Arabidopsis thaliana: one gene and its partners. The protein of the gene in region 4 interacts with the protein of the main gene of each other region in a pairwise test. Each region holds a gene or a part of one and is shown on either strand. Other genes may lie near its edges.

What was found.
Region 1: the proteins of AT3G03360 (region 4) and SK16 interact in a two-hybrid assay, tested with the Arabidopsis thaliana proteins (one study listed by BioGRID).
Region 2: the proteins of AT3G03360 (region 4) and SK4 interact in a protein complementation assay, tested with the Arabidopsis thaliana proteins (one study listed by BioGRID).
Region 3: the proteins of AT3G03360 (region 4) and SK3 interact in a protein complementation assay, tested with the Arabidopsis thaliana proteins (one study listed by BioGRID).

What each region holds. Positions count from the first base shown.
Region 1 is NC_003071.7:962,233-967,829, forward strand, and holds SK16 (SKP1-like 16), read left to right. Parts: upstream 1-1,981; 5' UTR 1,982-1,999; coding exon 2,000-2,512; 3' UTR 2,513-2,669; downstream 2,670-5,597. Other genes in the region: AT2G03180 (uncharacterized protein), read left to right, coding at 532-894; AT2G03200 (Eukaryotic aspartyl protease family protein), read right to left, coding at 4,274-5,597. UniProt on the Arabidopsis thaliana protein: Involved in ubiquitination and subsequent proteasomal degradation of target proteins. Together with CUL1, RBX1 and a F-box protein, it forms a SCF E3 ubiquitin ligase complex. The functional specificity of this complex depends on the type of F-box protein.
Region 2 is NC_003070.9:6,983,865-6,990,061, reverse strand, and holds SK4 (SKP1-like 4), read right to left. Parts: upstream 3,751-6,197; 5' UTR 3,633-3,750; coding exon 3,315-3,632; intron 3,157-3,314; coding exon 2,983-3,156; 3' UTR 2,731-2,982; downstream 1-2,730. Other genes in the region: AT1G20150 (Subtilisin-like serine endopeptidase family protein), read left to right, coding at 1-231, 328-445, 528-1,041, 1,111-1,211, 1,290-1,532, 1,644-1,758, 1,845-2,055, 2,135-2,730; AT1G20135 (GDSL-like Lipase/Acylhydrolase family protein), read right to left, coding at 4,564-4,691, 4,779-5,028, 5,110-5,346, 5,435-5,565, 5,698-5,938. UniProt on the Arabidopsis thaliana protein: Involved in ubiquitination and subsequent proteasomal degradation of target proteins. Together with CUL1, RBX1 and a F-box protein, it forms a SCF E3 ubiquitin ligase complex. The functional specificity of this complex depends on the type of F-box protein.
Region 3 is NC_003071.7:10,945,819-10,951,140, forward strand, and holds SK3 (SKP1-like 3), read right to left. Parts: upstream 3,809-5,322; 5' UTR 3,734-3,808; coding exon 3,416-3,733; intron 3,270-3,415; coding exon 3,096-3,269; 3' UTR 2,929-3,095; downstream 1-2,928. UniProt on the Arabidopsis thaliana protein: Involved in ubiquitination and subsequent proteasomal degradation of target proteins. Together with CUL1, RBX1 and a F-box protein, it forms a SCF E3 ubiquitin ligase complex. The functional specificity of this complex depends on the type of F-box protein.
Region 4 is NC_003074.8:791,594-798,222, reverse strand, and holds AT3G03360 (F-box/RNI-like superfamily protein), read right to left. Parts: upstream 3,318-6,629; 5' UTR 3,185-3,317; intron 3,064-3,184; 5' UTR 2,937-3,063; intron 2,861-2,936; 5' UTR 2,719-2,860; coding exon 2,717-2,718; intron 2,592-2,716; coding exon 1,958-2,591; intron 1,844-1,957; coding exon 1,661-1,843; intron 1,596-1,660; coding exon 1,305-1,595; 3' UTR 1,210-1,304; downstream 1-1,209. Other genes in the region: AT3G03370 (uncharacterized protein), read left to right, coding at 340-518, 629-800; AT3G03350 (NAD(P)-binding Rossmann-fold superfamily protein), read right to left, coding at 3,670-3,690, 3,875-3,976, 4,179-4,277, 4,595-4,687, 4,771-4,847, 5,106-5,295, 5,490-5,525, 5,667-5,730 and 1 more.

The DNA of each region.
Region 1 (5,597 bases), on a different chromosome or scaffold from region 4:
TAGTTATACGTACAAAATAATTTAGTTTATATTATTATTATTTATTTTTTTCCTTTTCCTTCCCAAATCTAGGATGGGAATAAAATACTTCGTTTTAATATTCTTTTTTTTCTTTTCGGGTTGATAATTGAGAGGTTAAGATTTTCTTAGAGCGATTTATTATTTTATGATATTAAAATATACGGACGATATACTGAAAGAAAATTCATGCGAGAGGATGTTAATATGCAAATTAATACTATTCAGTTGAATTTTGCCATGCAATCTTTTTGGTCGTAAATTTTGTTGAAAACTTATCCAATCTCATATGAAGCGTCCCAAGGCCCATATCAACACTTATTACGTAGAAAACATCATAAAGCGAGAGAAAAAGAGAGAGAGGCAGAGAGATAGGAGCGTATGGGCTTTCTTTTTTGTTTTGTCAAACAACTTTAATTTACTTAAAACCTAAAAGAGGGATGTTCATACAAATAGAAACTGAAAAAAACACAAAAGGAGGAGAGATAATGGCTCCATGAGTTTTTCAAAAAGATGCTCATCTTTAAAGAGTTTGCAAAGATTAAAAAATCTGTTGAAGCAAAAATTGGGTTCGCCCATAAAGACAGACTTCACAAATTCCTCGACCACCATGTGGTTATAGATGGCTCGAGCGAACAACGCATACAAGCTTTTAAGAAAACGTTCCACGGAAGAAGCTGCCGGATAAGAGAGATTGTCGAAGATTCGGTAACTACTTCTCCTTGGAGATGCAGTCAAAATGCCGTTATTCTTCAAACTTTGAAAGGTTTGCAAATTGATCAAGAGCTTGTCGAGCCTAAAGAGTTGCTCACCTTAAGAATTACTAAAGATTGCTTTATAATCCTAGAAAAACCACCAATCGCAGATGTTGTGTAATGTCATATACATGAGCTCAGAATTCAGAGGAAATGGATTTAAAGGATTGAGAAAACTTCGGTAATCATCGTTCCGTAAAGACGGGCTCATAATGCTGAATTTCTTCAAGCTTTTGGTTTCATGAATTAATTTCCGTAGAGAAGGAGCGTATGGCTTAGTTCTAGAGAACTTGTTCTTGTCTTTGATGCCTAAAGCAAAAAAAAAAATTAGCCCATTAACAAGTAATAGAAAAAAAAATACACAAAAACTGTAGACTATATCGAACTCGTCTAATTGAAAGGCAACATAACCACTGTGCCAGAAAAACTTTTTGGAAATTGATGCCCTCTAAATCATTAATACCGTTTGGCGCCTAAAGCCCATGCTTCACCAGCTTTAGCTCAGGGCCGGCCCTGGACATCATAGTGCTCCTGGTAACTCGTTTCTGTTTTGGAGTACCCCGGTAAAATTAAGTTATGAGTCTGCCACTACATAACTGCCATAATAAAAAAGTCAAAACATCTAAACCACATTTAATTACTTATATAAACAATATTCCTCAGAATTAGATTGTTTAAATTAATCTAATAAAGTTATTGACAAAAAAAAAATTGTTGCTAAAATGCTAAATGTTGAAAAAGTAAGTATCTTAGAACAAAGTACATGTCATCAAATTAATTATTTCTAAAACTTATAAATAAAAAAATCTCACTATATTATACTATATTTAATATTTACATTGAGTTGATAAGAGATACCAAAAATTAAATTTTGCTTTTAGGTGAAATCCTATCTATAATGGTTAATATTTTTAAAATATTAAATTACAATATTAGTATAACTTATATAAAATCTAATCAATATAATTTTATTAGCATGTGTGTAGTATATGTATGGGTCAAATATTAAAAGAAAATATAAGAGCCTAACAATTAATTATATAGTAGGATTTTGTTATATTTATTTTTCCTTACTATATTTCCTAAATTAAAGATTTGACCCACTCTCAACTCATTATAAAAAGAGAGACATTATTTCATAGCTTCATCAATTTTATTCAACAATTTCTCTCATTTCATTTCTTCCATAAAATCTCTCAAAAATCAACAAAACAACAAAACAAACAATGTCTTCGAACAAGATTGTGTTGACTAGCTCGGATGATGAATCGTTCGAGGTTGAGGAAGCGGTGGCTCGTAAATTGAAGGTCATAGCACACATGATCGATGACGACTGCGCCGATAAAGCAATCCCGCTTGAAAACGTCACCGGAAATATCCTCGCTTTGGTTATCGAGTATTGCAAGAAACACGTACTTGATGATGTTGATGATAGTGATGATTCTACTGAAGCAACAAGCGAAAATGTAAACGAGGAAGCCAAGAACGAGCTCAGGACTTGGGACGCAGAGTTCATGAAAGAATTTGATATGGAAACAGTCATGAAACTCATTCTCGCTGTTAATTATCTCAACGTCCAAGATCTTCTTGGTCTCACTTGCCAGACCGTTGCAGATCACATGAAAGATATGTCGCCAGAGGAAGTTCGAGAACTCTTTAACATTGAGAATGATTACACACCTGAAGAAGAAGACGCGATTCGTAAGGAAAACGCTTGGGCTTTTGAGGATCTAAAGTAAAACCATAAAGTTCCGTTTTCTAAGTGTTGATCTCGATGTTCTTTAATCTTTGTTGATTGCATTCGTTTCTTTGAATTCATGGTTTGTGGTTTCCTTTTGTATTTCATCATGTTATAATGTTTAACAATATTTACTTATATATGCCAATGTTAATTAATTCTTTCCAACCAAAAAGCCTCTGGCGATTCTGAATTCTTTCGCCAGCGGAACAGTATAAAATATAGCGTACATCGCCACCGTTTGATGAAGACTTGGGCACTGGAAATTTATCAAAATACATGTGCCCTAGGGCTTCTCTCTGTTAAAAAATTAAACATTTACGATTTCTTTTAGCCACGTAGTGAAAATTCATAATGAAATGATAATTCAATGCATACCTACACATATCGCATATGTATTATTTTACATTAAATGTAATAAATTAAATCATTTCATATTTTCTAAATAATGTAATGGTATTTTTCTATCATAGAAAGTTATTTGTGAAAAGTATGAAAGCATTTAATTACATTTAATGTAAATTAATACATATGGGATTTGCACCCAAAATTAAAATAAAATAAAATAATAATAATCCATATGGGATATGTGGCTATGTATGCATGCATTGAACTATAATTTTCATTATCTACATTTATAAATTAGTTTTAAGAGAGGCTTCACAATGGGTCGATTTAGCAAGAATATATAAATTATTACGGGCCCTTTAAAGCCCATAATATACTAAACATCCCGTGAGTGTCAATTGTCAAAGGCTAAAAGCTAATTCAAGCAATCACATTTTAGTCTAATCCTTTTCATGTTCCGAGATATCGACCAAAGAACATTCGACACCAAATCCACATATGCTCTAAAGTTCTATATGAGAGAGAAATATACAATCGTAGAAGGAACAGATCTAAAATACTATCTAAAATACAATATATCTTTTTTCCTTCTAAAAACATATGTTAAAATTTAGTGAATCAGTATAAGATAATAAGATACATCAATATATTTCATGGTTTTCAAACAATTTGATTTAAGAAAGAAAAAAATAGGTGAGATGGTTAGGGCTTAATTATGTTTGTTAGGCGACGTGTTTATAATTCCAAATTGATAAAAATTGCATGACGCATGCATTTCATCTCTTTCTCTCTCGAGTTGCTTGGAAGTTGAGCCAACCCCTTTACTTTGCTTCCAAGTTTAATAATTTTAATAATAATTAGTGTTCATTATTGTCAATAATTCTAATATTGAATCATCATATCAATGTCTATATCAAAGTTGTTCATGGTGGAACAAGACCTTCCAAAACAAATTACCACTCTTGTTACGTAAATATTAATATATATATATTAATTAGAAGATTCTCCAATCTATGGTTAACAATTTATATAGATTTTAATAATCAAAAATAGACTACTTTTTGTTACAAAATGTTACCTTATTTAGAAGTTTTTCCAGCTTTAACTCACACATGATGCGGCAAAAAAATCCAAGCACATGATAATTATCTTTGTGGTTTCACGGGCACATGGAAACATATACAATTACTTAATTTTTAGTCTAGTTAGGTTCATCAATATGCAAATTAAAATGATTTTTTTTCCTTTTTGTGGCAAAGAGACTTCTGTTTTTTCATACCAGCAAAACAGTAAACCAATATTTTCTATGTAGTCGGATATATAATTTACTCGGATAAAACTATTGAAGCACTTGACATTGTCACAAAGTATAAATTTCATTTATAATAAAAGAAAAAAAAAACAAATTAAAAATCTACAATTTTCCACATTCAGTGGGAACAAACGACACCGTTTCTTTCTCAAGATCATGAAGTACATTAAAATTCTGCTGTTGAACATTTCCGAAAATAGACATCCCATTAGAACTTCCCATGGCCAAACACAAAACGCCGGTGCTTGAATCCGCCACCATGTAGTTCTCTCCGGGAAGCTCCAAATCAGCACCTTTAAAATGAAAAATCATCTTAGGAACAGCAATATTCTTGGCAGCATCAGGTAACTTGAAGCACAAGTCAAGTCCCGTGGATCCAGAGTCATCTACTGGTAAACTCATCCGAGAAGTAAACTCCTCTTTCAACACTTTAAACGCGGTCTCCTCGAGATACGTGATGGTCGTGCCTGAGTCTATGATCATACCTCCGGTTCCATCTTCGGCTAGTTCAAAAGTAGACTTTTCAACAGAAAGGCGTTTTGCTCCAACGGTGATGCCTTGTAACTCAAGGTAATAGAACGAAGGCTGATCTGGATTTCGTAGCAAAGACATCGTTTTGGTGACTTCACCATCTAAACTTGCACCTGTTTTGTTGACGATACCCGAGGCTAAAGATCCAATAAACAACGAGCTAGATGCTTCACTATCCTCAATCGAGGTCAAGCAATAAGAAAACTTAGTCTCTTTGAGCTGAGAAATAAGCGAGAGCGGTCCGCGACCAAGACCTACAAGACCTGACCCTTGAGAGAACCCGTCGCCTTCGTTCTCAACCCCACACCCAAACCCGATACCAGAAATCGAGTTCTCGTCCTCGAAAGTGAACGTTTCCGTGGCCAAGAGCCCTCTTGTAGATGAGTAATCTCCATAAGTATACAAATACTCACAAGCATCTTTATCTTCGTTACAGTTTGATCGAGGCAATGCGTTACAAAGACCAGAAGAGCATCCTACTTTCGAGTAAGAGGAAGATTTCTCCGGGTCAAAAATCGGAGTTGGTTGATCAAAACATTCAGTGCAAGGCTTGCATTGAGTCCAAATAAGGTCACTTCCGGTATCAACAATAGCAGAGTATTTAACCGCCGGGTTTCCAATAGACAACTCCATAAGAAACTCACCGCTTCCTCCATGAGTAGGTGCTTTAATGTTATTAGTATCATCAGGCTTAGAGGCTACAGCTAAAACAGCTACAGCTCCTAATCTGTTTAATCTATGGAATCCACGGTTAATCCCTCTCTGAATCTTTTGGATCTTGGTGAGGTTTTTACCGGAATCCACATGTCGAAGACTCAATCGAAAACCGGATCTCGGAAGGTTTTTCGGAAGAGTACGGTCGATTAATGATCTTCTTGACGATGAAACCGAGATT
Region 2 (6,197 bases), on a different chromosome or scaffold from region 4:
GATTCTCTGGATTCGCAGCCCATTTATCAGAAGATGAAGCTCATCTCATAGCCAAGCAACCGGGAGTACTATCTGTCTTCCCTGACCAGATGTTACAGCTCCACACCACACGTTCATGGGATTTCTTGGTGCAAGAAAGTTATCAAAGAGATACTTACTTCACCGAAATGAACTATGAACAAGAATCCGAAATGCATGAAGGAGACACCATTATCGGCTTCCTTGATTCAGGTGAGCAGTATGAAGTGATGAAATATTTATATGCGCTTTTTATCTACTTCCAGTAAAACAAATACTCAATGCAGCATATCCTGATGGAGAAAACAGGAATATGGCCCGAGGCGCAGAGCTTTAACGACAGGCACATGGGTCCAGTCCCAGAGAAATGGAAGGGCACTTGCATGAGAGGGAAGAAGACACAACCTGATTCTTTCCGTTGCAATAGGTAAGCTGAGACTGAGGAAAGTAGAACACATGTAGAGATCCGATATATGTTTGAATTTACCACCTCAAACTTGGATAAACAGGAAACTGATAGGAGCAAGGTATTACAATTCGTCATTCTTCTTAGACCCCGATTATGAGACACCACGAGACTTTTTGGGGCACGGGACACATGTGGCATCAATAGCAGCAGGGCAAATAATAGCAAATGCGTCCTACTATGGCCTGGCAAGTGGAATCATGAGAGGAGGTTCACCAAGTTCAAGAATAGCTATGTACAGAGCGTGCTCACTCCTGGGATGTCGTGGCTCGAGCATACTAGCTGCATTTGATGATGCAATCGCAGATGGGGTTGATGTTATATCCATATCAATGGGCTTATGGCCAGACAATTTACTTGAAGATCCGCTTTCCATCGGGTCATTTCATGCCGTGGAAAGAGGGATCACTGTTGTTTGCTCTGTAGGAAATTCTGGCCCATCGAGTCAAAGTGTGTTTAATGCTGCTCCATGGATGATCACTGTTGCTGCCAGCACTATTGACCGTGGCTTTGAGTCCAACATTCTTCTGGGAGGAGATGAAAACAGATTAATCGAGGTAAGAAGGAAAAGCCAATCAACGGACAAATCTCCATTCACATAACATCTTAAAGAATTTCTTTTGCAGGGTTTTGGAATAAATATTGCCAATATCGATAAAACACAGGCTTACCCACTTATACACGCACGATCAGCCAAGAAGATTGATGCTAATGAGGAAGCTGCTAGGTAATAGTTGCCTCGTAAAATTATAGAGTAACTTTGCTATACCTATACTAACAAGACAACACAACTGCAAACCTTCAGGAACTGCGCACCTGATACACTAGACCAAACCATTGTTAAGGGAAAGATTGTTGTGTGTGACAGTGATCTTGATAACCAGGTGATCCAGTGGAAAAGCGACGAGGTTAAGAGACTTGGAGGTATCGGTATGGTACTTGTTGATGACGAGTCAATGGATCTGTCTTTTATTGATCCCTCCTTTCTAGTGACAATAATAAAACCAGAGGACGGCATACAAATCATGTCCTACATAAATTCAACAAGGTTTAAGATGTCTCATTTCACAAGACATTGCTTTCAAACAGAACTAATAATAATATTTTTACCCAAAAAAAAAAAAAAAACAGAACTAATATATCATAATCCATATTGTAGAGAACCAATTGCAACAATCATGCCTACAAGATCACGAACAGGACACATGTTAGCTCCATCCATACCATCCTTCTCATCAAGAGGTCCTTACTTGCTTACCAGAAGCATCCTCAAGGTATAAGCCCTAATATTCATCATAAACATGATCTCAACAGTATTCACAGAAACTTCAAAAACAAAATATTGATAAACCTGTTACAGCCTGATATTGCAGCACCAGGGGTCAACATACTAGCATCGTGGTTAGTCGGTGACAGAAATGCAGCACCAGAAGGCAAGCCACCGCCACTCTTCAACATTGAATCAGGGACTTCAATGTCATGTCCCCATGTCTCCGGGATTGCTGCTCGTCTCAAATCCAGATACCCTTCATGGAGTCCTGCAGCAATCAGATCTGCCATCATGACAACAGGTGAGAAATCAAAATCAAGTAGATACCAGTTACGGATGATTGATCAGCTAGAGTTAACCCAAGTCAACTGTATCTGCAGCCGTGCAAATGACCAACACAGGTTCCCATATAACTACAGAAACAGGAGAAAAGGCCACACCTTATGACTTTGGTGCTGGGCAGGTTACTATATTTGGACCTTCATCACCAGGACTGATTTATGAAACCAATCACATGGACTACCTAAACTTCCTCGGCTACTATGGATTTACATCTGATCAGATCAAAAAGATATCAAACCGCATACCACAAGGTTTTGCTTGTCCTGAACAAAGCAACAGGGGAGACATATCTAACATCAACTACCCATCAATCTCGATTTCTAACTTCAATGGAAAAGAAAGCAGAAGGGTAAGCAGAACAGTGACAAATGTAGCATCACGCCTCATTGGAGATGAAGATACAGTCTACACTGTGAGTATCGATGCACCAGAAGGATTACTAGTCAGAGTTATACCAAGAAGGCTACACTTCAGGAAGATAGGAGATAAACTCAGCTACCAAGTGATCTTTTCATCTACTACAACAATACTCAAGGACGATGCGTTTGGATCTATAACATGGTCTAACGGAATGTACAATGTGAGAAGTCCATTCGTTGTAACCAGCAAAGACGACAACGATAGCGAACGTTAACGATAATCTAAAGAGAACACATTCATGTATAAAGAGCAAAAAGATTAAGCAAGACCAACACTTTCTCTCAAATATTTCTCATAAAAACCAATAGATGTTGTTAGTAGAACAAAGCATTAGGTTTTCATCGACAAGGACAACTCCAATCGAAGAGAAAAAGAAAGAAAAAAAAAACAATCCGAAATCTTGAAAGCTAAACACATCTAAATAGAAAGACTAGAGATTCCTAAACACCCTTCAGATCCGATCCAATCACTCGAACGCCCACTTGTTCTCATTGCGAACCTCCGCCTCTTCCTCAGGTGTGTAATCGTTCTTGATGTTGAAGTGTGCACGCATCTGCTCTGGAGTTTTGCCTCTCATCTGATCAGCCACGGCCTTGCACGTAAGGTCAAGAAGTCCACCGATGTTCAAATAGTTCGCAGCCTGTACAAACCAAAGAACCAAAACGATTAGTCAAATCAAAACGACATTCAACACACTAAAACCCTAACAGAATCCTGCAAAATCAAACCTAAATCCCCAAATTAAAAACCCTAATTCTAACAACATCAAACCTAAACAATGAAAGCGACTTTACTAACCAAGATGAGATCGAAGAGAGTAGGCTGATCGACTTTGACGAATTCGCTGTCCCAATTCTTAAGCTCGTCGTTCTCAGCGGAACCATAGAAATCCTTGTCTCCACCAGCTTCAGCAGCGGCTTCAACGTGCTTCTTGCAATACTCAATAACCTTGGCGAGGATGGCTCCGGTGACATTGGGAAGTGGAATTCCGTTATCGGCACAGTCGTCCTCAATCATGTGCTTAATCGTCTGGGACTTAACAGCGACGGCTTCCTCGATCTCGAAGGATTCACCGTCGGAGCTCTTAAGGATGATCATCTTCTTCGTTTCTGCCATCGTAAAAAGTGACGACTTAGGAAAAGTTTTTGAAGGAGAATCGGCGCTGCGATTGATTGTTGTGATGGTGTCAAGGTTTGGGAAGTTGGAGCCTTATTTATAGCCAATTTCTTAATTGGTATTCAAGTCGGTTTATTGCTTTTAAGTTTTTTTTTTTTTGCCGGCTTATTGCTTTTAAGTTAATCTACTCCTTTTACTAATAGGAGAACAGTAAAAAGTAAAACAAATATTGGAAATTTAAGTTTTTAAAAAATGGAAAATTTATGTTGTTTTAAATAAAGTAAATATTTTTACTTTTCCACAAACTTCACCTTAGCTGTATTCCGTTAATAATATTTACTTTTTCAGATTTACATCTGATTTCAGAAAATACAGTTTATCTACGTGTGCAAAAATCATTGACTAGGGTTTTTATGTTTTAATCAAAGAAAACCTCCACGTTTGTATGTAAAAATCTATGTGAAATTATGAATTATTATTTGGGTATTTTGTAGTGAATATCAAGGAAAATGTAAAAAGTAGGTAACAAACACCACAATTTTTGGGAAAAATATTGCGTTACACTAAACAAACCAAAATTAATAACATATTTATTTGTGTTGTATTTCTCTCATTTGTTGATCTTTGTATTTGTGTTGGATGGAAATCTTTTATCTTCTTCTAGTATTTTTTTCTTCTTTTCCAAACACATAACTTTTCTGGTTTGGTAAACTAAGAAGCACCAAAATTATTGCAAATGAAATTATCACTGATTCTGATTAATTGATGAGAACACATAAATCAAGCTTAACAATAGAGACCTACAAGCGGCTCATCGTCGATCGAGGAACTAATCATATTCAAACCAAGGTTCATGGTTCTCATGTCTAAATATAAAAAAGAAAGAGAAAATTAGTGACTAGGCGAGGTTGCTTTGGATGGTACTGAGGATCTAAGGTAGAACAGTTTTATAGGCTTTTTCAGAAGGATGGGCAAAGTCCCAGAACACGTGACTACCAGATCTTAAACACGGAATCGGAGTCATCACCGAGCAACAACATGGTTTTGCCGTCGTAAACCCTGAAATGTATTACAATGTAGAAATTAGCACCCTTGTTTTTTCTACCATATATATTCAAAATTTGCGTGTGTTACTCAATGTTTTACCGTATTGGCTAGGATTATTGATGACCTCAAGAAGTGAGTTATACATATCGATGTAGACGAATTTGCCATTGGGAAGCCTTTGGTTGTACTGATTGACCAAGTTAGCTACTTTGTCATTATAAACTCTAGCACCATAGTTTACATTCGGAAGACATATCAAATTTCCGGTAATTTGTCTCGCCCCTGGCAAACACCCTAACGGTAACGTTCCAAGAATTGCAAATTTTCTAGCTCCTAGATCATATAGACTCTGTTATTCATACAAAATAATCATTATAGGTAGAACAATATTATGAAGAAAAAAAGTTATAAATAAATGTGTGTTGTATACATTTATGAAGGTAGTTTTCCAACCGATGAGCATATCAGTGTATGCTTGGACAGTGTATCTCGTTTGTCTCTTCGGAGTTGAAAAATATGTGATGGCAAGATCGTTATTACCAGCAGACACTAGAATCACAGCATTGGCTATAATCTCTTTGACTTTAGCTGCATCTCCAACTTGTTGGTTTAACTTTTCTAAGTATCTTTGAAAGTCACTCACCTGATCTTGTACCCATATAACCCCCTATATAGTTTGCACATATAGTAAATGAGTAAGAACATATATTACTTTATCTTATTGAAAGTAAGAAGTACATAACAAGTAGATTTACCTGTATAGATGCAGTGAATTTGTCTAACCCTGAACCACCGGATGCAAAACAAACGCCGGTAGCGAGTTCACTATTTTTAAGAAATGGGCTCCGGAAAGCAGGTAAAAGATCTTTTACCCCTAAACCGCTGGCTACATACATATATACCATGTACATTTTCATTATAGAATGATTCTCGAACTATTTGATTACTCATTAGGTTAAAGAATGTGAAAGAGAAAATTGGTCTTATATATATATGTTGTATAGAGAACAATTAGTACCAACTAAATCTGATAGAACTCTTCCATTCCCGAATCTTCCTGTAGGAATACGATGAGGAAAATCGCGTCCATATGGCAAAAAATTGCCTCTTGATACTGTCATGAGCAAATTGTTGTTACCAGTATCGAGAATCGAATCTCCAAATGCAAGAACTGCTGAAAATGTTCCAGTTTGAGCTTGAACACATGAAATCCATATAGACAATAATACTACTAGAACTTTGATGTTTGCATTTTCCATCTCAAATAAATTTTAGGTTTTATTTTGTTAGTATTTTTTTTTGTTTCGAATTTTAGTTTCAATTTAGTTTTTCTTTTTTTTTAAAGAATTTGTTTACTTTATCGTCATACTTTATACAAAGGTGAAGAAGGGTTGAGAGAGTTCATCGAGTCCCTTGAATAATGGTATGAAACTTGTTTGTTTTTGTGGTTAAAGAACAACACTCTTCCCTGTATCACTGGACTGATAATATATATTTAGCCAATCCAGCAAATCAAGT
Region 3 (5,322 bases), on a different chromosome or scaffold from region 4:
CAAATAATCAAGGTATGAAATTAATTTAAAATCTACAATCTATTAAATAAAATATTTTTTTTGACCAAATATGTTTTTTACTCAAAAAAGAAAAGGATATTCCTTTTTAGTGAAAGGATATACAAACATAATTATATATCTGCCATAAACAGTTCAACATTTTTGTAATATAAAATGACCATGCATAGCAAAACAACTATCACAAAAAAAATCTCAACCATCACAAAACGATAGTTAAACTTAAACCAACAATTTCTACCTTCTTCCAAGTTTCTGGTTGTGATATATCTACTCCCTAATTTCTACTTTTAAAGGGAAGTCGAACTAATATATAATTGTATAACTTGTCCCATGGTTATAAACATATGCAGCGAAACTAATTGGTAATGATGAATCAATATGGTACAGTTCTTCCAAACTACATGTCACGATTTGTTTCTGATATTTTATAACTTAAGTTGATCAGAACAATTTTCAGTTCTATTATTTGATTTAAGTTTTATGATTCTGGTATTCTAGTAAAGTTTTTTCAAAATATGTCAAATGACTGCATTTATTTTTTCCTCAGTTCTACATATCCCAATGACTACATGTCTAAATATATGGAAATATTGGAGCTACATATTGAAATTTTAATGGTAAATCCCCTCTCCTGTATTTAGGTCACATATATATGTTGTCCATAAAAAAAAAATGCTGTCCATGAGCTAAAATATAATTATATCTTTTAACAAAAAAAAATTTAAATTCCGTTTTAAACTAACAATTTGCTGAATAATAACAGTGAATTTTTAAATATTTTTTTATTCTAAAAGGCAAAAGTGAATTTTGTAAGTGAGCGAGTAGCTAAATGTGAGCATGCATGGGAAATGGTAAAAAAAGAAGAGAAATTGATCAAGACAATACTTCAAAGGTCCGAACATCTTCATCATTCGCAACATGGTCCGTATGGTATTTATATATGCATTAGTTATATAATTATCTATATGATAATTAAACTCTATATATAATTGACTTATATGGCTTGGGTTTAATTAATTTTCTTTTTTCTGTGATTCTGCTTGTAGTCGAAATTCTTAATTTGATGGTTGATGTGAAGCACACATCAAATGTGATTATAGAAGAAAGATCATCAAGTTCAAAAAAAGTAAACAAAAAGAAGAAAAAATTAGAAAATGATTGATATGATCACTATAATTTATGGGTACATATGTTTAAATATCATTTAATAGTGTAATGAAAATTTATTGAGATAAAATGAGGCTAAGAATTTGGTTATGATTGGATACTGCAAGATATATGTCTATCTCTCTCCTATTATTTGTGATGTCGGTGATATGAACATGAACTATAAGTCATGTCCTCCGCCTCCACTAATCATCTATAAACATATCAAAATAGCCACAATACCCGTTTGTGTATTGTAGAACAGTCTTCCATGTATGTCAGAATCCAAGAACATACAAACCCTAAATTCAAAATCCTAGACTATACACGAGATTAATTCAGAATCCTGGAAAGGGTAAATCAAAGCCTAGCTATTTTCGAAGATCTATGATACAGTGATGATCAAAGATGTTGATGATCGAATAAGTCAAATTGAATATTTTCCAACGCGATGCCTCAGGTTGATCAATGATCATCTTCCAAGAACGAAAAATTCAAAAGATCTTGCATACAAAATAAAGGAATGAGTCACAGACTTTAGGAGGCTCACCAATATTATTTAGAACATTTCATCTGAAAGTTTACGATACAGGTCATCCTTAGCAGCTTAGACAAAAAGGTAAGGATAACACAATTTAATATCACATTCAATACAAGTGCAAAAAAAATAGTTTATAAAGAAAAAATCTTCCATCTATCCCCCACACAATAAATCATACACAATAACAACGAGATTCATACTTTATGAAGCCATCATTTGAGATAAATTAATAAATGTATGATCTACTGTGTCTATTGACTTTTTGTTTTTAGATTTAGGTTCTGTTATTTTGTTACGTATGTTCATAAACTTTTAAAAGTTTGATTAATGAAATCACATTCATAATTTCGTAAATTGAGTCGTGATCTGATATAGTGTTATTGTTAATGTAGAAACAAACATGAATACAAAATCTTTTCTAAGTTAGGACCAATCATTTTAAACATTCAGAGTCTATCTACAAAAAGATATAATAAGCAATCAAAAGCAATTTAACATTATTACTAACCTGTGTTTTATTTTCGAAAATAAGTCATTTGTCACTGCGACTAATGCTTCTAAATATTGCTATAGGAAACATCTATGATTGAAAACATTTGACTTAGTTTTATATAACACTCGGAATCTATCCCTTTTGTTTTAAAGATTATAATGAACTCTTCTTACCTTTGTATTGGTAACAACAGAGTTTAGTGTCTTTCTTACCAAACATTGACCGTTCTCATCTGAGATATACAAGCATATACAGCAAAACATATTAGTTGGTATAAGCAGAATCATCTGAATTATGCCAATCATGTACGAGTTTGATCAATGTATAAGGAAAGCTTATTTTTAATTTCACTATCACCAAAACAAAACCATTTTTATATTGGTTCGAATGATGCAAAAGGTCCTTTCTTCCTTTCTGTAACCAATTTAGTTATACATACCAATCATTTTATAAGGAAATTCAAAAAATCTATATCTTAAGCAGATAAGAAAGGAAGATAAGCTCTTACCATTGGATTTCAGAAATTGAGACTATTTCAGATCCGACCATGTTCATCTGGCCTCATATCGTCTATGGCTCGGGCAAACATGTTATTGTATCATAAAATAAACGTGGCAAATTGGATATATAAATACATCATAATTATATAGCTTATATAGATAGACGTATTATTATCTCTTTTCTGTTTTTTTTGTCTGTGAAATCGTTTGATTGATAATGCATATTACTTTGTGATTTTATGTATATAAAGTTTAGCCGGGATTGAATGAAGAAAATGTGAAACACTTCTGGGAGTTTTGTGACAAAAGAGATTGGAAGCAAAAAGAAATTCAGGCAAAATAAATTTCTCTTATTTTATTTGTTGATATCAAATGTTCTTAAATTCTTTTCCAATCACTCGAACGCCCACCTGTTCTCATTGCGAACCTCGGCCTCTTCCTCAGGTGTGTAGTCGTTCTTGATGTTGAAGTGTTCACGCATCTGCGCTGGAGTTTTGCCTCTCATCTGATCAGCCACGGCCTTGCACGTAAGGTCAAGAAGTCCACTGATGTTCAAATAGTTGGCAGCCTTTATAAACCAAGACGATTAGTCTCCAAATCAAAACACAACATTCAATAATATAAATAAAACCCTAACATAGTCATGGAAAAAATATAAAAAACCCTAATTCTAAAAACATAAAACCAAAAAACAAAGAAAAAGACATTACTAACCCGAAGGAGATCGAAGAGAGTAGGATGATCAACTTTGACGAAATCGTTGTCCCAAGTCTTGAGCTCGTGGTTCTCGGTGGAACCATAGAAATCCTTGTCTCCACCAGCCTCAGCAGCGGCTTCAACGTGTTTCTTGCAGTACTCGATAACCTTCGCGAGGATGGCTCCGGTGACATTGGGAAGTGGAATTCCGTTATCGACGCAGTCGTCCTCGATCATGTGCTTAATCGTCTGGGACTCGACCGCGACGGCTTCCTCGACCTCGAAGGATTCACCGTCGGAGCTCTTGAGGATGATCATCTTCTTCGTTTCTGCCATCGTTTGCAACAAGGACAAAGGACTAGACAAGTTTTGAAGAGAATCGGCTCTGCGATTGATTGTGAATTGTGTGATGGTCTCAAGGTTTGGGAAGTTGGTGCCCTATTTATAGATCTATGTAAAAACAATTTCTTACTTGGTAATTAAAGTCGGTTGATTGCTTTTATGTTAATCTAATCCTTTTAATAATAGGAAAACAATAAAAGGGAAACAAATATTGGAATTTTAAGTAACAAAATCTTTATTATTTTTTTCTTTTAAAGAGAAATATTTTTACTTTTCCAAAAGCTCAACCTTAGTAATAATATTTACTTTCCAGATTTACCCGTATCTGATTTCAGAAAATACAGTTAATCATCTACTACGTGTGAAAAAATCATTGACTAGGGTCTTATGTTTTAATAAAAGTAAACCTCCACGTTCACATAGATTATGAATTAATTATTATTTGTGTATTTTGTAGTGAATATCAATGAAAATGTAAAAATTGGTAACCAACACCACAATTTTTTTAATAAATTATTATTTACTGGGTAAAACTACGTTACACTAAACAAACTGAAATTAACGAACATTCATGGGTTTTGGTTTTTAAAATTGTTGGAGAAAAATATGATTATAGTTTTAGTTAATTTTTATGTTCATTTTGTGTGTGAATTAGATACTGTTCTTTTCTCCATTCAGATGATCTTTTAAATTATTATAAACGAACGTCAATATTTATCTTCATTTAGATGAATCATCGAATGGAAAAACGAACAGTACTTTAAAAGATTAGCGAGAAGGATCAGTTGGATGGTTTTTAATAAACTCATTTAAAAAAGGAACAGAACAGCAGTTAACGGAAGCTGATTTAATCCAAAATACGAAATGTCATAAAATACACCTACCTAAAAAGAATTCCAGCAAAACCTAAACCTATTTCTCCTTCATTCCTCGACATTCACTTCGCCGGACCTCTTCACTGGATCTCTCACTAGAATTCACTCCTATCTCTTGCCGTAATCCACTATTCTTTGCCGGATTTCTCGTGCGTTCTCTCTCTCTCACTCACTCTCTCCTTCTATCTCTCTGTTTCATGGATTTGATTTCACTATTTCTCACTCTCCCCTTCTACCTCTCTATCTCTTGCAGTAAGACTCACGGGTTTGATTTGTCCTTGAGTCATTAGATGGATTCGATTATTTATTTTAGCTCGTTTTGGACAAAGTAAGATTCATGGGTTTTGTATTGAGTTTATGATGCTTATAAGCTATAATTTTCATGGGTTTTTGTATTTGTCGAGATTCATGGGTATGAGCTGATTCATGAGTTTTGTATCTATTGTGTATTTAGAAACTGATATGCTTTAGAATTGTGTGTCAGTTTAGGGTATAATTTAGGTCAGTTTATCACTGTCAATAACCATCTTTCAGTTATATCAATGCTGTATTTTCATCTAGTTCAGTATTAGATTGTTTGATGAAAAGTAACAAAGTATCAATATGTCATTACTAAATCAGGATTTATATGCTAACAGAGTTAAGCTTAGATTTGGGAATTAACAATAAGCTGCATCGGTAGACATAAGTCAGAGAATTTTGTTATAC
Region 4 (6,629 bases):
ATCACTTCATAGGGATTGCTAACAGACTGTTTTATTTTTCAATGTTACAGCATCTGAATAATCTTCCATTTCGTTTTAAAAAAAACAGAGATTTTGATTTCTTCAGTCATCTGTTCTTGAGAGATCGCCTTGGTGGTGGTGATGAGTCTCTGAAATAGCCAACCATATACATTTAGACAACTGCCATTAGAATTCCACAAGGACAACCTATGACTGCAGCTTTCCATGAAAACATTGCTTCTCTGGCTGCTTGGTCTGTGTCGAGCATGGTTCTTGGATTTGCATTCCACATATTTTGTTGTTGTTTGCGTAAATGTTCGGATCGTTCAATCTGTCTAGCTGAGGACTCTCATGGATTCTACCTATAAGTTTGTTGTTGCTCAACTCCATACATTCAGCTCACTGAGCTTGGATAGTTTCTGCGGGATTTCGCCTGAGAGGTTATTGTGTGAAAGGTCTACCTTCTCAAGATTTCCAAAACTTTGTGGGATCAATCCAGAGATGTCGTTGTATGAGAGGTTTAAAAGCTTTAAGCTTTTGAGATTGCCTAAAGAATATGGGATTTCTCCGAATAGCTTGTTATGGAGAGGTCTATCAGAGTGTAGAGGCAGACGTTATTGTTGGCAAGACCTTGCTTTGAATTCTTCCAGTTCACTGCTAAGTTATGTATTACGATAGTGAAGCTGTATATGAAACGCAAAAGCGAAGATGAACTTACGAGAGATTCTTTCATGCCTGTATCCCAGGAGATGAAGGGAGAGATCCATCAAGATTGTTCTCAGAGAGATCCAAGACCTTGAGACTTGTGATATTTGATATGCCTTGCTTCTGTTCCTTAGGCCAAAATTTGTTCGATTCCGCAACTTCTTTTGTCCTAGGTTTGTCACCTCTGACTGATTCTTTGTTTATCTTAGGTACGTGGATCTCAAGGCATGCATAACTAGAATTGAAGAAAATGGATATGGAGCAAATCTTGCTCCTTGGCTCAGCTCCCCACCGGATAGGCTGCAGACAATGCAAATTGATTCTTACATAGCCCGAAAAGAACTCTCTGTTGCTGAATCAAAAGTACTGGAAAGAAATAATATCAAACTGTGTACATGAGAGCTGGATTTGGCGGGTACTGTTTCTCAAGGCAATGCTCGCTCACTAGACCGTTTTTCCGAGGTTAGCCAGTAGATTGGAAATGGTAAAACGTAAAAACAATTTCACAACTTAAAATCAATTTAACAGAATTCGATTATTTCAGTAAGAAAAACAAACAAGAGATTTTCATCTAGTGTACTACTTAAATGTAAAATGACTTAAGTCACTCTGAATCGTTTTCTTCTTGAGCTGAGCACAATGGAGACATCGTTGTTGCGAGGAAGCATTGGAACCATCTGACGCAACTCTACAAAACGTCTTCCTTTGATATAACCTTCCAACCTTGCGACAATCAACTCTAATGTTGATATGGTTTTAAGCACAAGTTGCAGAAACGAAGCCACTTGCTTTGACTCTACATTCCTGCGGGAAGTGTTCTTAAACTCCGAGCTCCAGGATGGATCCCAATTCAAGCCATGAGAATCCAAGTATATGTCAATATGCTCTTCCTGTAATGCAAGTATATTTCAATATGATGATTCAAAATTCGGGGTCAAGGAATATTCATAATTACCGGTATGGGATATGAGCCGGCAGACCCCATTGGGTGTATGGTTAGCTTCTTCAAGTCAGGCGAGTTTTGTAGCACCTTTACTATACCATGAATAACATATCGAGAGATCATTGTCTCAAGTATCAGAGCTTTAGCCTTCAACTTTGGAAAAGAAACACCACGGAGCTCGGCAAGAGATAACATCTATAACAAACAAAAAAAAACAGAAGACAAATGAGTGTATACCAAAAAACACACTAGTTTTCTTGAAAATCAGAGCCTAATTATGTAAACTAAATCAGGAGTGAAAACATATACCTTAAGAAAGTTTGCCCCCAAAGTAAGCTTCTCCACATTCTGACACTTTTCTAACATCTTTACCACCATGGTCTGATGAAAATCAGCCTCCAGTTTATTATCAACTATTGCGTAAGCGGTAATGTCTAGTTCAGCTTGGGATAAAGAGGAGACATCAACTAAAGCACATGGTTTCTCAGAGTTTATCAATCTGAGACAACGGATATGTGGTGCAACGAGCTGTGTTGGCTCCATTCGACATCTACGAGTGATTTCTAATGTTATCAGACGCGGTGATTTGCTGAGATCAAGGACCTTCAGTTTCTTGCAGAAAAACAACAATAAGCTTTCGAGAATGGGACAACCAGATAGAATAATAGCAATGGATTCATCAGAGATGTTGCAATGATACAATGACAGGTTCTTCAGGGATGTCCAAGACACAGAACATTTGGGATTCAGAGATATAAAATCCTTTTTGCAGCCGAAATCAAGGTAGAGTTGCTTGAGAGAGGAATTGATGTAAAGGAATTCAGGGATATCATATTTATCCTCATCGAGATACAGGGACAGATTCTCCACGTTTCGGGACATGGCGAAGTTGATCCAACTGTCGATGTCAGCATGCGTGTCGGGTCTGCTGATACAGGCTGCCCTGCAACAAGAACAGATACGAAAACTCATCATCTTGGGAGCCCTGTAGCGATCTAGGATTCTGTTAATACAAGGAGCATCCGGTCTGTCCCTATGGAAGGAGAGGGACCATGTATCAGACCATACATGCCTCCATCGCCTGGATAAAACGGAAGTTTTGATCGCCAATCTGGTTGGAAGATAGGAGAGAATTAGTTGGAGAATATCATCAGGCAACCTACTGATCAAGTCTCCAGCTTCTTTGAGATAGCTAGGGCTTGCGCATGTACTCTGCAATTTGTATAAATATCGCATCACCCACATAAGAGAAAAAGGATTGGATATTTGGATTATAGAGAGATATTACCTTAGAGGAAGAGAAAACAGTAGACGAAGCATCGGGTCTGGTCGAGTTTTCCTGACTTTCCTTCTCCATCTTTTCGGTTTCCGAGTTCACCTTTTCTTCTTGTATAAACTTTTAGATCTATTGACATCTATAATAAATTTTCGAAGATCACAATCTAAAAATGATATTTACCAATTTGTATATAATGATGATAAAAGGAAGGAAATATAGGGGAAATGAGTAAAGGAGAAGAAGGAGAAAGCAGTTACCAAAAATTAAATTACTGCCGGCACATATCTGCAGAGAAGGAAAGAATGAACAGTGATCAGCCTTGTGACAGCTTTGGCAGGAGTGTTGTCTGTGAGTTTCTGGCAGCAAGTGAATCCCCAAAAGCTTTTCATTAGTCTTCAATATACGCATCACATAACTTTCTTTTCGGTTTTTCTTTTCTAGGAACTCAAGTCCACTGGGCTCAAAAGCCTGTTGGATTACTATATACAGTAGTCCGATTTATCTCGTAGCTGCATCTGAAAACCTCTTGAGCGCAAAGAAACTAAATAGCAAAAGCCAAGGGAAGGCATGTACTGCACTAGATACATCACAAGCAGTACTGGCTGATAAATAGCAAAAAGAAGATCGTATATCAGCATCTAAACTGAGTGAAACATATGCGATTTTGACAAACAAGTACCTGATATGAAATCCAAGCTTCCTTCAAGCTATGAGACGCGGCGATTATAGTCAGTTCTGCATATCATTCAGATGACACACGCTTCTGTGTAGCAAAAGAAAAGATCTTTGAGTGGAAATAAAAAGAGAAAGAAGCCGGAGATAGAAGATCCTAATGTTGAAAAGGAAGAGGATTCTATGTGTCTACAAGACTGATTAGTTGCTTAAAGGAAAGGTACAAGTACAAAAAACTGACAACTTAATCAACAAATCACAATCAGTTAACCAACCTCATGAGACTTCTTGTCTTCCGAAGTTGATGTTCCTGTACCATTCAACGTTTCTATTGGACCAGGAATAACGACGGTCACTTTGATTCCCTCCTGACAGAACTGAAACCATAGGCAGATTGTGAACCAACTGTGAATTGTTACTTTATGGTGCTATTCTCAGCAATTAGTGAAAAGGAATGTAAAAGAAAAAATCAAATCAGAAAACTCTGAGGTAGCTGTGAGTTTTCTATTGTGACTTTCAATAAGTCATTAGCTGCCAAATAATTAGCAAGCACCACAGTTTCTTTAACTTTTAACATACCTCAGAACGCAAGCTGTGGAAGTAGCCGTGCAGAGCATGTTTTGAAGCAGAATATATAGCCTGTCCAGGTGATGGTACCTTTCCTGCAGCACTGCTTATCTATAGACTGACGTGAATTATTAATCATGACATTTAACCCAAGGAAATGGAAAATTAACACATACAAGAATAGCTAACCGTAGTTTGACTTCTCAAGATGTGTATACGGTAACATGATTTGGAATTTAGCAAGCAGAAGACAAAAATACAAAAGAAACCTTAAACTATCTATACATAGCTTAAAAGCCTTAGATTTAACATATAAAAAACGCAATGTATATCCATATCCATAAACTATGATATGAAGCTCAATCCTTCAACAAATCCACAAAATTAGGGCACTTAACAAAAACTATCCCTCGTTAGTCTCCACGTACCACAACAAAATGACCGCCTCCTTGTTTTAGCATATGAGGAGTGACCAACTTTATAAGAGTTATCGTCCCAAAGACATTGATATCGAATGTAGTCTGCACACAAAGTCATTGAATAATCATATGTCACCAAGCAAACCATTGTATGGCCTACGGATTTTATGCAATTAATTTAGTACATTGATAGTTTCCTCACTTGCATCCGATGCCTTGGATTTCTGCAAGAAAAAAAATATGATGATGAAACGACATAAAACTAAGGTACAGAGCATTTAAGGCAAAACCAACACAAATCTCAACCGTTCAAGGCTAAGACAAACCTAATGAAGAAACCTGACAAAAGCGTAGCCAGCAAATAGATTTGTATGAGGATGTTTTGATGGAGAAGGAACTTATAAGGATGCAGAGCTAATGCAATAAACTATTTCAAGATCAATGACGATTCTGATCACAATGCTGAGAAAAAACTAGAGAGTCAGTTTTAACAAGCATTTTGCAGAAGAAGGGAACTTACAAGAATGTTGAGCTTGCCACTGAATCAACTTATCCCTCTGATCTCTAACCGAACCAGACACCACTAAACCACTGGATTTGCAATCATTTAAGCATGCTTTTAGCTCTTCCTGTCTTGTAGTGTAGGAGGCTGCAGGAAGGCAAAGAAAAGCAACCAGTGACGCGATTTCCTCCGGTGCTGGTAATCTTAACTATGTTAACATATAACAGATCTTGCCTAATAGATGGAAAACTTACATGAGATCAACAAGCATCACTATATGGTTCAACAAAAAACCGTAAGCCTTCACATTACATGTATGGAATAGACAGATAGCTGATCATTCGAGGCAAAACCACCAAAAGTCTAAACCATTCAATCCTAAGACCAAACATATATAGAAACCTGATAAAAGTGTGGCAGAATGGTTCGAAGATTGTTCTATCGGATAAGAAACTTGCAAGGATACGAGCTAATGTGATATGTAGAATTTCAAGATTGGTGAAGATTCCAATGTGTAGAAAATTCAATAAAAAAAGCATAGAAAACAACAAATGTCTTTAGCATGAGAAGGGAACTTACAAGGATGTTGAGCTTGCCGCTGAAAGCAGAAGAAACTTCCTGAGTCAACTTATTCCTCTGATCCCTAACCATTTATGTGCAACTCCATAGTCAAACACAGACAAAATCTTCCAAGTGATCCTCATCAACCATTTGCTTTCAGATTTTGATTTTGGTGACAGGAATCGATTTGAGAAATAACCCCAAAACCTGAAATAGAATCAATTGTATCTAAAATGGGATTGAGAGACGTCAAAATTGTTTTGAATAGAATGAATTGTACCTAAAAACAACAACTTTCATCAGATTGAGAGAAGAAGACGAAAAACTAATATGGAGCTAGCAACATGTATACTATTTCACTTTTTTTAGAGTTTTTCAACCAATCAGAAGGCTGTATTTCACCCCCACTCTCACAAAGTGAGCGTTGAGCGCGTGAGAGCACTTCTGTGGGTGTACCCCTTTGGAAATCATGCCTTTTTTAATCTACGCACTCCTCTCTGAAATCCCCATCGCGTGCAATTGTTTTTGTTTTCTTCTCTTAACCAGTGTAAACCGAAACCAAAATCAATTCTAATTTCAATACCAGGTAAACTTAACCGAAAATTCAATTCTAATTTCAATACCAGGTAAACCTAACGGAAAATCCAATTTCAATTTCAGCTCAACAGATAATTTTTCCGATATCAAGGTGGGACTGTGAGGCCCAATTTAGACATGCAAGAACTCCACTATCAAATTAACTAAGTAAAATTGGGCTTCGGGTTTGGTCTAAATGGATCACTGAGTGAGTGAAAATCGAAATCTTTTGAACTCGTTGATAACTAAGTAAAACAAGGAAATTTGACATTCTTTATCACGGTTTAGCATTTTTTTTTTCACTTTTTTCCCGAAAGGAACGATTTTAAAAAATAATAATATAGAAAACAATTCGAACATACATATATTACGATGCAAACACCGTATTTTAGAGCTACCCATAAA